Caenorhabditis elegans: one gene and its partners. The protein of the gene in region 3 purifies or fractionates together with the protein of the main gene of each other region. This does not show direct contact. Each region holds a gene or a part of one and is shown on either strand. Other genes may lie near its edges.

Evidence for each region.
Region 1: the proteins of cutl-19 (region 3) and lact-6 fractionate together in Caenorhabditis elegans (co-fractionation; one large-scale study listed by BioGRID). This does not show direct contact.
Region 2: the proteins of cutl-19 (region 3) and T10B11.5 fractionate together in Caenorhabditis elegans (co-fractionation; one large-scale study listed by BioGRID). This does not show direct contact.

Annotation. Positions count from the first base shown.
Region 1 is NC_003282.8:17,429,077-17,433,336, reverse strand, and holds lact-6 (Beta-lactamase-related domain-containing protein), read left to right. Parts: upstream 1-1,949; 5' UTR 1,950-1,959; coding exon 1,960-2,117; intron 2,118-2,166; coding exon 2,167-2,323; intron 2,324-2,368; coding exon 2,369-2,732; intron 2,733-2,774; coding exon 2,775-2,971; intron 2,972-3,023; coding exon 3,024-3,134; intron 3,135-3,147; exon of another isoform or gene 3,148-3,168; intron 3,169-3,179; coding exon 3,180-3,311; intron 3,312-3,363; coding exon 3,364-3,537; 3' UTR 3,538-3,740; downstream 3,741-4,260. Other genes in the region: Receptor-type guanylate cyclase gcy-27, read left to right, coding at 1-213, 269-360; C06A12.3 (GSKIP domain-containing protein), read right to left, coding at 3,853-3,867, 3,912-4,028, 4,074-4,260.
Region 2 is NC_003279.8:6,939,556-6,944,875, forward strand, and holds T10B11.5 (DUF1273 family protein), read right to left. Parts: upstream 3,523-5,320; 5' UTR 3,454-3,522; intron 2,416-3,453; 5' UTR 2,396-2,415; coding exon 2,274-2,395; intron 2,172-2,273; coding exon 2,117-2,171; intron 1,687-2,116; coding exon 1,432-1,686; intron 1,235-1,431; coding exon 1,148-1,234; intron 1,073-1,147; coding exon 939-1,072; intron 884-938; coding exon 694-883; 3' UTR 660-693; downstream 1-659. Other genes in the region: T10B11.4 (Ubiquitin-like domain-containing protein), read right to left, coding at 1-63; T10B11.6 (Transmembrane protein 53), read right to left, coding at 3,825-3,987, 4,036-4,169, 4,818-4,959, 5,020-5,142, 5,191-5,320.
Region 3 is NC_003281.10:5,215,301-5,219,430, forward strand, and holds cutl-19 (Cuticlin-like protein 19), read right to left. Parts: upstream 2,312-4,130; 5' UTR 2,267-2,311; coding exon 2,222-2,266; intron 1,922-2,221; coding exon 1,770-1,921; intron 1,577-1,769; coding exon 1,491-1,576; intron 1,389-1,490; coding exon 1,221-1,388; intron 1,014-1,220; coding exon 940-1,013; intron 889-939; coding exon 700-888; 3' UTR 651-699; downstream 1-650. Other genes in the region: ZC155.2 (Histone H2A/H2B/H3 domain-containing protein), read left to right, coding at 4,005-4,040, 4,088-4,130.

The DNA of each region.
Region 1 (4,260 bases), on a different chromosome or scaffold from region 3:
TAGGATTCCACGCAGGTCCTATTGCTGCCGGTGTAATCGGAATTAAAAATCCTCGCTACTGTCTTTTTGGTGACACTGTAAATTTCGCGTCCAGAATGCAATCAAACTGTCCTCCCCTGCAAATTCAAACTAGCGAAATTACAGCAAGAATGCTATTGGCCACTCATGAGTATAAACTGGTGAAACGAGGGATAGTTCATGTCAAAGGAAAAGGTATGTCAAACACAATTTTATATAAACTTTTAAATATTTTTGTTTTTCTATGTAGGTGAAGTGAATTGCTACTGGCTTAACGAGCACATACACAAGGACGAAGAAATCGAGGAATCGGGCACAATATCCCATCCCTTAGAGTCGTGAAAATTTTTTAAATCTATTTTTTTAATTCATATACGTTTCTCTAAAAATGAACGTTTAAATAATTTTGCAAAAGCGTTTTCTTACAAAAAAAAAGCCTTTTATGACAACATATCGAAATAACAATAGTTTTTCAAATAAATTCTTTGAATTTTGAAGATCATCCAACTATTTTTCCAAGGTCCACCGATGTTTGTATGCGCAAAAATTTAAAACTAAAAGTAAAAGGTTGAAAACGAAAAGACGGTGACAAGTGGTTAATTATTTGCTCAGAAAAACATAAAAGAGAACTAGAGTTTGTTATAAACGGACACTACAAACTATAAGGCCAGAAGTTGGAGAATTGTAAAAGTTTGAAGTGTGTAAAACTTTAAAAATATGTGAAAACTATAATGTGTTATTTTTCTTCCATATTTTCCTAGTCCAATGTTAAATAAAAAACAATCATTCGGTGCTCTACTAATAAACATTAGCAGAAATCATGATTTTTTTTCTTTTCGAGGCATAGTTAAATCATAGAATAGTAGTTGGTAAACTCAATTAAAACATGGTTTGATAAGAATTGATGATATGGGCAAGAACCAGAACGAGTTCAGGGTGCACTGGCCTATGAGGTTTGACTGATAACTCAGATGGTCGTATATATATATATACCTCCCTGAGAATAATACATGTTTTTTTATGATTGAATAACATTTTTGTTTCAACGTGTTGTATTTGTGTTCTCTCAGGTAATCAATTGATAGTTAAATACGGTATTTTATATGGTAATCTTGCCCAACATTTCTTAACTCTGAAGGTATTTATATCCGTTGTATTGTTTTTTTAAACAATTATAGATATCCAAAAGCTTGATTTTTTATTTATTATTTAGCAATGAAACATTTGCAAATAATTTTTTATTGAGCCGGGATATGAATTAATAAAATATAGAACTGGATTTTGAAATTCGGTGTTGTTCTTAGTTATGTAACGCTAAAATTTTTGTAGTGCTGAAATAAATATTTATGTGTACTTTTCCATATCAAAAGGTGATTTTTCAATAGGAATTTTCACCACTGATTTCATTGAAAAATGCTCCATTTTCTAACAGTTCATTTAACCGGGAACTTTCTCTTGTCCCTTATATCACTTGTCACTTGAATTTTTCTATCTTATCATTATAGTGTCCAGCACACAATACAGACAACTTTGAAGTTCGGTACGTCCTCACCTTTTCAAACAACAATAATATGTACTACCCCTTATGTTATTTTTGCTAATGTAATTCATATTGTTTCAAAAGGTGGCACAACATATTTGTAGTGTTTGCAAAACATTTGTGGCTGGTTTCAACGTTTTGTCAAAACTCCACCTACTTATTGTTCGACCCTCTTTATACCACGAGTCTCCACGAGAACAGGAGGGAGGTACAAAAAGAAACGAAGATTATATCATGTTTTTATTTTCTGCCACACATCTTCTGTTTCTTTAGAAACTTGTTTTCATCTTCGGACTCATCATTCTTTAAAGTGTTCATATTTTGAAACAGTTTTAAAACATTTTATAAATACTTTTAGCTTAAAGAATTAAAAAAAACCATTAAATATTTCAGAGTGAAATATGCGACTTGATTTTGATACGTTTGGATGTTTATATCTATTTGTAATTCCATTTGTGGTTCAACCATTTCTTTCGTGTTGGTTAACGCCAAATGTTAATGACGATAATGTTAATGGCTATGTGGACGAGCGGTTTGAGACCGTTTTAGAAGCATTCCGGTAATGAAAAACTTTTTTGATTTACTATCAAAAACTATTTTTGTTCCAGACGAAATTTTGGACAAGGAGAAGAACGTGAAGGTGCTGCGTTTGCAGTTTATTACAAAGGAAAAGAAGTAGTAAATCTATGGGGTGGATATGCTGACAAAGAGTCGGGAAGAAAATGGTCAGAAAACACCAAAAGTGTGATGTTTTCTGCATCAAAGGTGAGTGCTCATCAGAAAATTTGTATTATGCACACAATTTTTCAGGCCGTTTGTTCTATTGTGATAGCTGTAATGGTTGACAGGGGTCTTCTAAACTATGCAGATCGTGTGGTAGATTATTGGCCAGAGTACGGGCGATATGGTAAAAACGCGACTACCATAGAAGACGTACTTTCTCACAAAGCAGGACTTCCGTATCTCAGTGAAGATATCTCAATAGAAGACGTCAAAAATGGATTGAAAATCATGGAAAAAGTAGAAAACTCTGTTCCAGCTTGGACTCCTGGCACCGCGTCCGGTTATCATGCGGTTACTTTTGGGTTCATTTTAGATGGATTGGTCAGAAAAGCAGATCCACGTGGCAGAAATATAAAGAGATTTTTTGAGGAGGAAATTGCTAGACCAAACGGTGAGTCACTATAACACTAGAAATATTGAATTTTTTTCTCAGATCTCGACATTCAAATCGGTGCCCAAAAATCAGAGGCTCCATATCTCGCTCGTCTCACAACACCGTCTTTATGGGAATTCACGCGTGATATAATAAAGGACCCAAAAATTCTTATTATGCTTGGACTTATGTATATCCGCTTTGATACACTTGTTCATAAAATGAGATCAAATCCAGATTGGCTACTCGTTAATTACGTAAGTGTTTCTTAATGTTGTTGAACAGGAAACACAATTTGAAACTGTTTAGGATACTATGGTATTAAACGATCCCGAGATTGTTTCTCTAAATCTTCCCGCTGTAACCGCTATTGGAAATGTGAGAGATGTTTCAAGGTTGTTATCAATGATCGTTGAAAAGGTAATTGGAACATTGAATCTCAGACTTGAAAAATAGTTTTTACAGGAGCTAATATCAAATACCACACTCCTCGAACTTTCCCGGCCTACGTTAAACAGCTGGCATTTCGAAAAAGTAACTATCTGGCCGGTTATCAAAGGGCATGGGTTCTTCTATGAAAAACACCCATTGATACCTGTAAGAAAGTTGAAATTGTAGTAATTCGAAAAATAATAGAACAATGCTTTAGGAAGCCTTCACATTTGGCCATCCAGGTTACGGTGGACAGTTTGTTCACATGGATCCAGAATCTCAAATTTCAATTACATATTTATCAAATGGTTTGAAAACTGGCACTGGAGAGCTTTGCGGAACATATATGAGATTACTGAACGAAGTATACAATAGTTTGAGGAGAATATAATCTGAAGAGAATATAGTTTCATTTTTCTAACAGTTACCTCACTTCTTTTCATGTTTGTATATTTAAAAAAAAACAACACAACAATGCTTAATTCGTCAAATATATGATCTCAACCTTTTCTCATCAATGCCTTGCTCCTTCGCGTGACATGAATATTTAACTTCCAAATATTAACTCTACCTTTTATGAAAATGTCTCAGATATAACCCATTTATTTATTTTATCGACAAGTATCAGAACGAATTGGCTAAAAACTCGAAAGTATGTAGTATTGAGTAAAATTGATTATTTATTGTCAATTTAATGTTCATGTCCTTATTGAACCGCCACCTGAAACAAAATAAATTCTGTAGAGTCAATAGTGGTGGTTTTACCTCAGCTAACTTGCTGAGTTTCTGAGCAACACACTCATTAAATCGTGTTGCATGGTCAGGTGATATGAATTTCAAAAGTTCACGAGCATTTCGATAGTATTTAGTGTGAAGGGAGATCTGAAAGCTAAACATTATACGGTTATTTCTAAATCAAGTGCATACTTTCGTATAATCCCCGTTCATGCAATCAGTATGGGACGAAGCAATTCTCCATCCTTTCATAGTCAGCTCTAAAGTGTATGGGCTTCCTTCCTGAGTTTTCACATTAACAAAAATCAGGTCACTAGTTCTGGGGAGCATTTCCGAAACACTGATGTCTTGAACTTCATGTGCTAATTCGTGGACTGCA
Region 2 (5,320 bases), on a different chromosome or scaffold from region 3:
GAGATTGTCAAATGGTTCAGAAATATTTAATTTATGAAATGCTTTTGTTTCGGAATCATTCATCGAACTGATCTTTTTGTCCGATTTATTGTTTTAAACTTATCCTTTAAGCGATGTAATTGTTTAAAAAATGTGAAATGATTCGAAAAGGTAAATTTAATACGAGCAAAGATCACTTGGAAAAATAAGGATATTGAAATGCCGTTTTGGTAAGAGTTACGTGACATGTTTGAAATGAAATTTTTGAAGATTATGACAACTTTGCTGAAGTTTCAACTACCGTAACCTAGCTGTGAAATTACACCAACCAGTAAACTATTTTGCAGCAGATTGAATCCTTCCATAAATTCCTTCAAGAAAGCTCCAATCAACTGGATAGTGTCTACTTGAGTGCCACACTTTTAAACTTTTGAGCATCTTGAAGCTTGTGTAGCTGCAGGTAGAGACAAATGTAAAATGTCATTGTTTTTGATTAACAAAACATGAGCAAAATTATGAAAACTCAATTTTAAAAAGCCACATTAACAGGTGTGAAATTACAGTAACGTACACCTTTTCGTATTTCGGCAACCGGCTACTTGATTGCCGGTTTCCTAAGGAGTAGATCGCCTAACAATGAGTTAAAATATGTCTGACAACAGTGGCTGCATGTAACAAAAATTTAAAAATGTATCATTTATTTAGCATCATGTTTTATAGCTTTGAATTCCCGCCATTTCTAAGTTTTTCCACTTTTTGCAAAAACTCGTCCATTTTCTCCAAATATAATTTCGGATACTTTCTGAAGTGTTCGACGTGTGCAGTATCTTTTAGCCTAGTCGCCATGATTTGTCTCTTCTTATCACTTTTCTTTGCAGCACACTCGTTGAATAAGTTGATTTCACTGAAAGATAAATATATTTGAATACTTTTTTAAAGCATGAACTAATAATACTTACTCAGCAGAACAAACAATGTCATTATCGGAAAAAATAGAAGTTAAGATTGGTGGAAGATGTGGATGATTCAATAGATAAAAGAACGGATTTGCCTCTTCAATTGTACACAATCCAGCTTTTATAGACATTGTGTCCTGCAGAAATGATACATTGGAAATTTGAAAAGCGTTAGGTAAAATTTTGAGGTAGACAAAAAAAATACAACTAACCATAATCATTTGATATCCAAACCTTGCTGTTTCCCATTTCTTGTAAACTTTATAAAAGTTTCCAAGTACGAAATTCGAGTTTTTGATCTGAAAAATTGAAATGGCTCTCAATTTCATTTTTGTAAGTGAGAGGCTCTTCTCAACGTTAACCCATTCTAGAGTACTGTATAGTTCGAAGCCGTTTGTGGAAGTCCCCATGATCATCCCAAAGCTAAAAGCTGTGAGGCAAAAAATGGATCGACTATGTATCCAACTACTATTAGTTTTTAAAAACTAGTGCTTACCAATTGATCATAAACATGATTCATGACCAATGCATGTTTTTGCATATTCTCAATTGAAAAAGAGAAGCATGCTGGACATGAATCCATAAATATTCCATCGCATTTTTCAATTGCTTTTAATTCTGGAAATTGTGAATCAAGAGAAGTGAGTGCAATAAATCCATTCATAGAGAATACATGAAATACAAGACGATTTGAAGGATTTATAAGGACAGAGTCAAGTGTGCTTGCTAGATGATCCACATTTCTACCATCCTGAAATTCTTTAAAATTATAACTGCTTTATGTGAAATAGAAAACTTTTGTAGACCGATTTCAGAATTTTGGATAAATTGAGAATTGAAAGTACCCTCGAGCAATATGTTTCATAGAAAACAGTCTTAAATTATTTTCCAATTTTTACTAATTCTACTGCATTCTATTTATTAGGCTCCACTTATTCTGCATTGGCAGTTCTTTTTTAGTTTTATTGGAATATATATTCTATTACTGCGTATTCCAAATGTTAACTGGTAGAGTGTTATATCCAAAGTTAGTCTACTACCGTATAGCAAAACTATTTCAGGCCAAACTTAAACGAATAATTGTGAATTGCACGAAATGGGCTGACATTTTGTCGACCCTTATTTGGAATTTTCGTCAAAATGTGCATTATATTTTTTCATTATATTTTTCTTCTGCTCACCTTAGTTCCCCATCCTTTAACAGCCGCAAGAGCTGTGAATTGAACTGTTGTGTACCTGAAGATTACAAACGGGTGCAATTTTATAAAACCTAGGTTTCTGAGTTGAGAGCATAACAAAATTTGACAAACATTTTCACATTTTCTCACTTCAACATACCCTTTCTTTTGATAAATCCCTGCATATTTCTCCACATTTCTGTCAACAGCTCCCGCCCATCCAAGTAATGCAACGATTGTGTCACGCTTCCCATGTCTCACAATTGCTTTTGGTCTTGACATTTTATGTAACAGAAACGAGCCTGAAAAAAGTATAAAACTGTAGCATGTTCGAGAAAAGTTGGAGATGAAGATGAAATTATGGTCAGACATCGGCGCCACGTAACTTTCCAGACGTTTTTTCAGAAACTAAAAAAGGTCTAATACGCAAATATAAGCGGACTATTCGAGATAAGAACACAAGTAACTGAAAAAAAACAGAACTAGTCTGTGATAACAAATAATTTTTTGAGAATTGGCTGAGCAGCCAACTAGCCGTTGAGGGTCAACCCATTGCGATTCGTTTGTTGATCAAAGATTTACCTATGAGTATAACCAAAGCTACTGGTTAGTCTTCGTCCCGCTGGCTGATAAAATATCAGAATATCATACGCCAAGGTTTTTTTTAATTAGCTCCTAGTTAGGAACTAAAATTTAAATGTGACATACGATAAACTATAGAATCTATTTGCTCAAACCTCAATTTTTTTGATTGACAGAGTGATGACTATACATTCTCATTACGAAGAACAAAATCTCAAAAGTACACATGTCATTATACTACTATAGTACGTAGTAAAAGTTTTGGTGAATAGACAAATTTTTGAAATTTGGACTTTTTGAGAAATTAAGAGCATCTTGAATGTTCAGAGCACTATTAAAAAAAAAGGTTCAAAACTTGCATTAAAATTATTTTGGTCGACTTCCAAAATCATGAAAATTGGAAACTGAGCAAGAAAAACTTTTAAGTATATTTCTTAATAGTTTTTGATTTTTGTAAATAATAAGTTTTTTTCAAATCACATTTTGGTGAATAGCAGATTTTTACAACTTTTTTGTTGGTCAAGGAGAAATCAACATGAGAAAAATGGGAAAATCTCTTCAGAGTAATGTGGATGTTCACATTTTGGATTTGTTTCAACTCAAAAGGTACATATAGTCTTCATTGGTATTATTTAAATTCAGGCAAAAACCACTGCAACCACCCATTCATCCTTGTCAGATACACTTAAAAACCGTTCGTTATCAAAGATAATCTTCGGAAAAACATCAGAAAGAATGGAAAAGCAGGGAAAACGTACCAAAACTGCGTCTAATCATTTTGTTATCGGGGAGGGCACAACTTGAACGTTCTTCTTATCAATGTTCTTAACGAGTGATTGGATATTGATTTTACGGAGAAAAACGAAGACCACGTTGTAGTTATTTTGTTTTCACGCTTTTACTATTTCAGAGACAAGAAACAAAATTGCAAACTCTAAAATGTTTATTGGCAATCTAAATTTGAACAAAAACCCGGAAATCTTGAATCTACTGAAGTTTCGGATGAAATGTCAATTCAATATTTTCAGTTAGTCTACTCCATTTCCAAACTGAGAAAAGCGAGTCAACAAGGCATTAAGAAGGTACAGAAATTGAATGACCCGTTAATTAACAATTATTCCTCATTTCTTCATTTATACGACGCTTCGACGTGTCTAACAAAGTTCAGGCAAGCTGTACGGTAATCTTTTGGATGTGTTCGAATGTGTGCAACATGCTCAGAGTCGACGAAATCAATAGCGGTCACTGAATTTCCTTTTTCTTTTTGTTTTTCAATGAATTTCTCGACATGTCTGAAAAATCTCATAAATTGATCAATCAACGTAATAAATTGTACATACTTCGCCTTGATCATAGTGTCAGCTTTAGAGTATAAATACAGTTGATCACGTGGCAGGGCAATATGTGTTTGAAGATAATAGTAGATTGACACAAACGAACGTAAAAATGGAACCATCGTAAGAAGTGGGATTTGCTGAAAAACGAATTTGAATGAGGTTTTTGAAAATTCAAATATGGGGTTTTTCTTCGTATTTAATGAAAGAGGTTTACTGATTTTTGCTAAGAGATTGTCTAAAACTGGATTGAAAGAACCGAATTTTATTAAGAAAAAATTTCCAAACATTTTTATAGACGGGTCAAAATTTCGAAAAAAAGGTAACCTTACAATTAGTTACAATCTGAAATTTCGCCAATTTTTCCTTGCCGTAGCAACTGGAATACAGTTTTTATTAAATTATCATTCTTTTTGCATATTTTGGTAGTTTATCTCGCGTTAGTTCGTTGATTTAGAAACATTTAAATTCGAATTCAATTTTGGTAATTGTTGGGTGCTTATCGACTTGAAATGTTCTTAAATCAATGAAGTAAAGCGAGATAAACGACCAAAATACTTAATTCAAAAATTTTAAAAAATAATAATACTGTATTCTAGCTGAATTTTCAGATTTTAGCAAAATTTTATTATTTTTTTCAAAAAACCTGCAATTAAATTTTTTTGACATTTTTGAGGTCTCGAATTTCGGTCTTTTCAGACCAGTTTTAGTATATTTGAGCAATAAAAATAGTCACAACTTCCAAAAAATAAGTTTAAATAGTGTTTTCTCAATTATGAAAAACGAACCAAGTAAGCTCGTAGATTCAAGAACCAAGTAAGCACAGAAATTCTCGTTTGCTCACTAATCCATCGTTCAAATGCATCAATTGGAGGAGTTGAAATGACCATTGCCGTAGCGTCTTGTTTTCCATATGGGCGCGATGGGGCACTGAAAAATAAAAATTTAAGAATAACTGAAACCAAAGTTCAATTTCAATATAAAACTCACCTATCGAAAATAATTCCTTTAATTCGTTCTCTTAATTGTGGTTTTTCCTCTGCTTCTGTCCATTTCCAAAATGAAATTAATCCGCGTACTCCGTTCATTGAAAATGAGTGAACAATTATTGGACTGAAAACTGATTAATTCAATATTTAATTTTTTAAAAATCAACCCAACCATTTGGCAAATGATCTGAAATCTCCGGGTTTTGCATCAATTGCTCTGAAAAGTGGTGACATGTAGAATCCAACACGAGAATTTGGAATACTATAGTGATAACATGGTGGACAGAGGGAGACAACTCGAT
Region 3 (4,130 bases):
TTCTAATTTTACTTTAATTTCTTATCAATTTTATTGCAATGACTACTGGATGAAAAAGGTCCGAAGCCCGTTTAATTGGTGATAAAATGTGAAAAAAAATGATAAGGTTCGAGAGATTTTATGAGGTTTCTGGTAAAAAACGATGATGATGAAAGATTGTGTCGAAACTGGTTTTTTGTATAAACGAATGAATGGCGGGAACAGAGAACAAAAGTAGATCACGATATAAAAAAAAACAGTTCACAGGAAAAGCGTTTGTGGAAAAAACATTTGGCGGAGCGATTCAAAACAAAACCACATAGTTTTTTTTAAATCCATAATTAATTTTATTGTTTTTTAAAAAATTTATTTCCAATAGAATTTCAAAATCCGGATAAAGAAGAAATAAAAAAAAATAATAAAAAAATAAAAAAAGTTCACACCGTCTTTGACGACAAAATGCAGACTGGGTTACTGTACAGGAAAACTTTTTCTTGACTTTTTTGCACTTTTAATGTCATTAATTGCAAATTTCGCTAGTTTAAAAACACGGAAAGTTGTTAATATATTTTTTTAAAAATTATATAAAACATTTTATTTTTTGTTTGTTAAACTTTTAATTTCTCGAAAATGTTCTGTGAATTTAATGAAACACCGAAGCTGACGACGTTTGTGGATACGGTAATTTTTTATTCGAAATTAAATATTCTTGAGCAAAATTCAACGTAATAAGAAGACAAGTAGCAGAATGATAATATTTCCAACATTTTGGAAAGGAGAATTTCCAAAATTCAAATTCAAATTTTCAGTGGTCGATGGCTCGGGAAAACATAAATTCTTGACTCTAGAAGAACTATTCCACATAGCCTCATAGTCATCGGCTCGATTATCATTACAGGTTCGTGGAGGCTGAAAAAAACAAGAAAAGTGATGAGCAATTGAATTTAACGAAATGCTCACTGTTATTGTCTGACACTTTGGATCACATAGGTGGCACAGGCGGATAGTACATCCGACATGCATGTACTTCATATCTGGAAGATTGAAATGAAATATTGTTGATTTGAAAGAGATAACAGAGAAAAAGAGAGGAAGTTTTTCGGATTGGGTTTGTTGTTGATTGGGGGTGCGTTCGTTTTTTATTTGTTTGATTTTCTAAAAATAAGCAAGGAAATCTTGAAAACCTTCGTGGTAGCAAAGTTGTTCAACAAAAAACAACCGGAGACTAAAATCAAACTAACTTTTCTGTCTTACAGCCATCCATCCAATTGCTGCAGCTCTATTAAATGATGTATAAACTGGAGATGTTAGTATTGCTTTTTCAATTGTACATCCATCATCTCTTAATATGTAAACAGACATATTTGGTGATCCAATCCAACAACTTTCCACTCGCATCGCGTACTTGGCTGAAAATGGTTACAATGAAGCTTTACAGTACCGGCAAATATTATATTGGTTCTTGGTTATGCTTAGAATTTCTTGCCAAAAACAGTATTTATTCAACTTACTTGTATCGCAAACCCATTTATAACAAACTCTTGTTGACCATGATAAGGTGTCGTTTAATTTAAACTGAGGACTTGAACATGTATCTCTGAAATACAAGAAGTTTGAATTCATGTACCATGATCAAAACTAACCAAACAGTTTGGAAGTAACTTTTTTGATATTTTTGAAATTTAATTTTTTTAAAATTTAGTTGTTTGAAATTATAGGCAAAAAATTTTACTTCCATAAAAACTGAAAAGTCTAAACTAAAAGAACCGAAAGAAATGAAACATAGGTACCGATCCCAGCCTGACTTATGCAATGTTAGCCGACATCTTGGATGTCCTGTAGATGTGATCGTTGTCTCATTTTCATAGATCATATTTAGTACTTCGACACGAACTCCAATTTTCTGATTCATAAGTTCACTATATTCACATTTGATTGTGGTCTGTAAGGGTTAGAGAAAATTGTGATATTTTCAGATTTTCTTTTTCGATATTTGCCAACACCTTGAAAAAAATTTTCCGAAAAATCGAAAACATAATACAGATTTTTTAACAGATTTATTTAGTTTTTTTGACCCGCACTGGGTATATTTCGATCAAATAATTACTGGTGCTACTCCACGTTTAATTGTAAGGGCGCATGAATTTATTCGGATGGGACTTGTCAAAACAAGTTATTGCAGTACATTAAATTTATCCAATAGTCGAAAAAATCAATTAAAAGCAAAAATGTCAAAACTTACAGAAAATATCACTAAAACGCAAAATATCCTATTATATTCCACCATCATATTGAATGCATTAAGCTGATAGATTTTTTAAAGATCTGAAAACTTTAGAATGAAAAAATAGGCTAACATAAATTCTAAACAAATGCACCAAAATGCCAAAAGAGGACGAGAAGAAATAGGAGAATGCATTGAAATGAAAAGAGGATGAGCTGATGATTTATGGGCTTCACAGTAGTGAATTGGAAAGGGCAAAGAGTAGATAACTAATGTGGGAAGACATTGTTCAGAAAGGAGAACGGAGAAAATGTGCAATGGGCTTTTTACTATAAGTGAACTCATAATGAAGTTCAAAACTACGATGAGCTATTACCAAATGAGTCATATGCGGCTTAAGTTTTTTTTGGATAAATAATTAAAAATTCTGTGGCGAGCTTCTCAAGTTTAACTTGCTGATAAATGTAAAAGTGGATTAGACAAATTTAAAAGTTTAAAAACTGAAAGTATGCATTCAGAAAATTGGCAATTTACCAAAACGTTGACTGAAAAATTTTTGCAAATTCTAGTTTTTGAATTCGAATATAATATTCAGTCATGTTATTGTAGGTCAAGCATGACTGATTATCATAATTAAATTCAGAATCTAGATTTTTTCAAAAATGTTCAATTAAATTTTTGGTAAATTGCCTTTTTTTTTTTGAAAAAATATAGAAGAAGAAGTATTGAGAGAATATTACTGCAGGTTCTGACATCTATAATTTTCACATAGAAACAATTGAAAAACAATGGAAACTTGAATTAACTTAGTAAATACAATTTTCCAAAACTCTGATATCTGGACGAATGTTGGCAAAAGCAGAGATATCTGATAAATTTAGGTTTTTTTTTCAAAAATTGGAAAAATTATATCTCGAAAACGGGATTGAAAAATTGTGTTTGAAAAATTATAAATTGGAAGTTTCGACATTTGTTTTTCAAAAAAAAAAAAGCAGAAGTTGGTCATTTTTCTGAAAAATGAGTTGTGAAAATTGTAGACGGCTAATATTGTTTTTCAGCCTTGAATGGTACTCCGTTCTATTAAAACTAACAAAAATTAATTTTTGATAATTTTCATTCAAAAAGCGTTGCGAGCTCTGTTTAGAATATTTTTGAAAAATCCGAAAATGAAAAACTCAAAAACCAGCCAAAACTCAAAAGATGCTTCCTCATATAAAACAAAGCGGTTCTGAAATTGGACAATTTGGCCTCATCTTTAGAATTGAGCGCTTAAACTTGGTAGAAAGACATTTCCGGGGAAAGAAGAAAGTCCTACTAGATGTGTGTGCTTGTTGCTGTTTTTGAATAATGATAGTTGGGAGAGCAGAGATGGGATGTCCCATGGGATCATAGAAGTCTCAGGGCTTGTCACGAAGAAGACTTTGTTAAAAGAAGGATAACAGAACAAGAAAAAGAAAAAGATATGGAGATTTTTGACGGATTTTTGAAAGATTCAATGTGAAGTTTCGTTTTCCTTATTTATGTTTCCGTGTTTTCAAACCTTTTTCTCCACAAAAGGTAGGGTTTCTATGGTAGGACCGCCGCACTTTGAAAAATTAAATTACTGAAATCGAAAAAAAAAATCAGTGCGCCATTCATCAAGGTGTGATAGCAATGATATGTGCTAAATCATTTTTAAAACATTTAATAAAAACTGCAAAATGTTCATATATCGTGAACTTAAAATTATAAATAAATTTTAAAAAAACATAAACGTTTTCACAACTGTTTTAATTTATTTCCGAATATTTCAAATAGTAAAATGAGACGAGTTTCAATAAATTCTTTTCTAGAACCGGTGAGTTTTATTACAGGGGTTTTCCAACAGTTAATCGAATTTTTCAGAATTCTCCAAATGTTCCAAATCGTGTGACCATACCGGACGGTG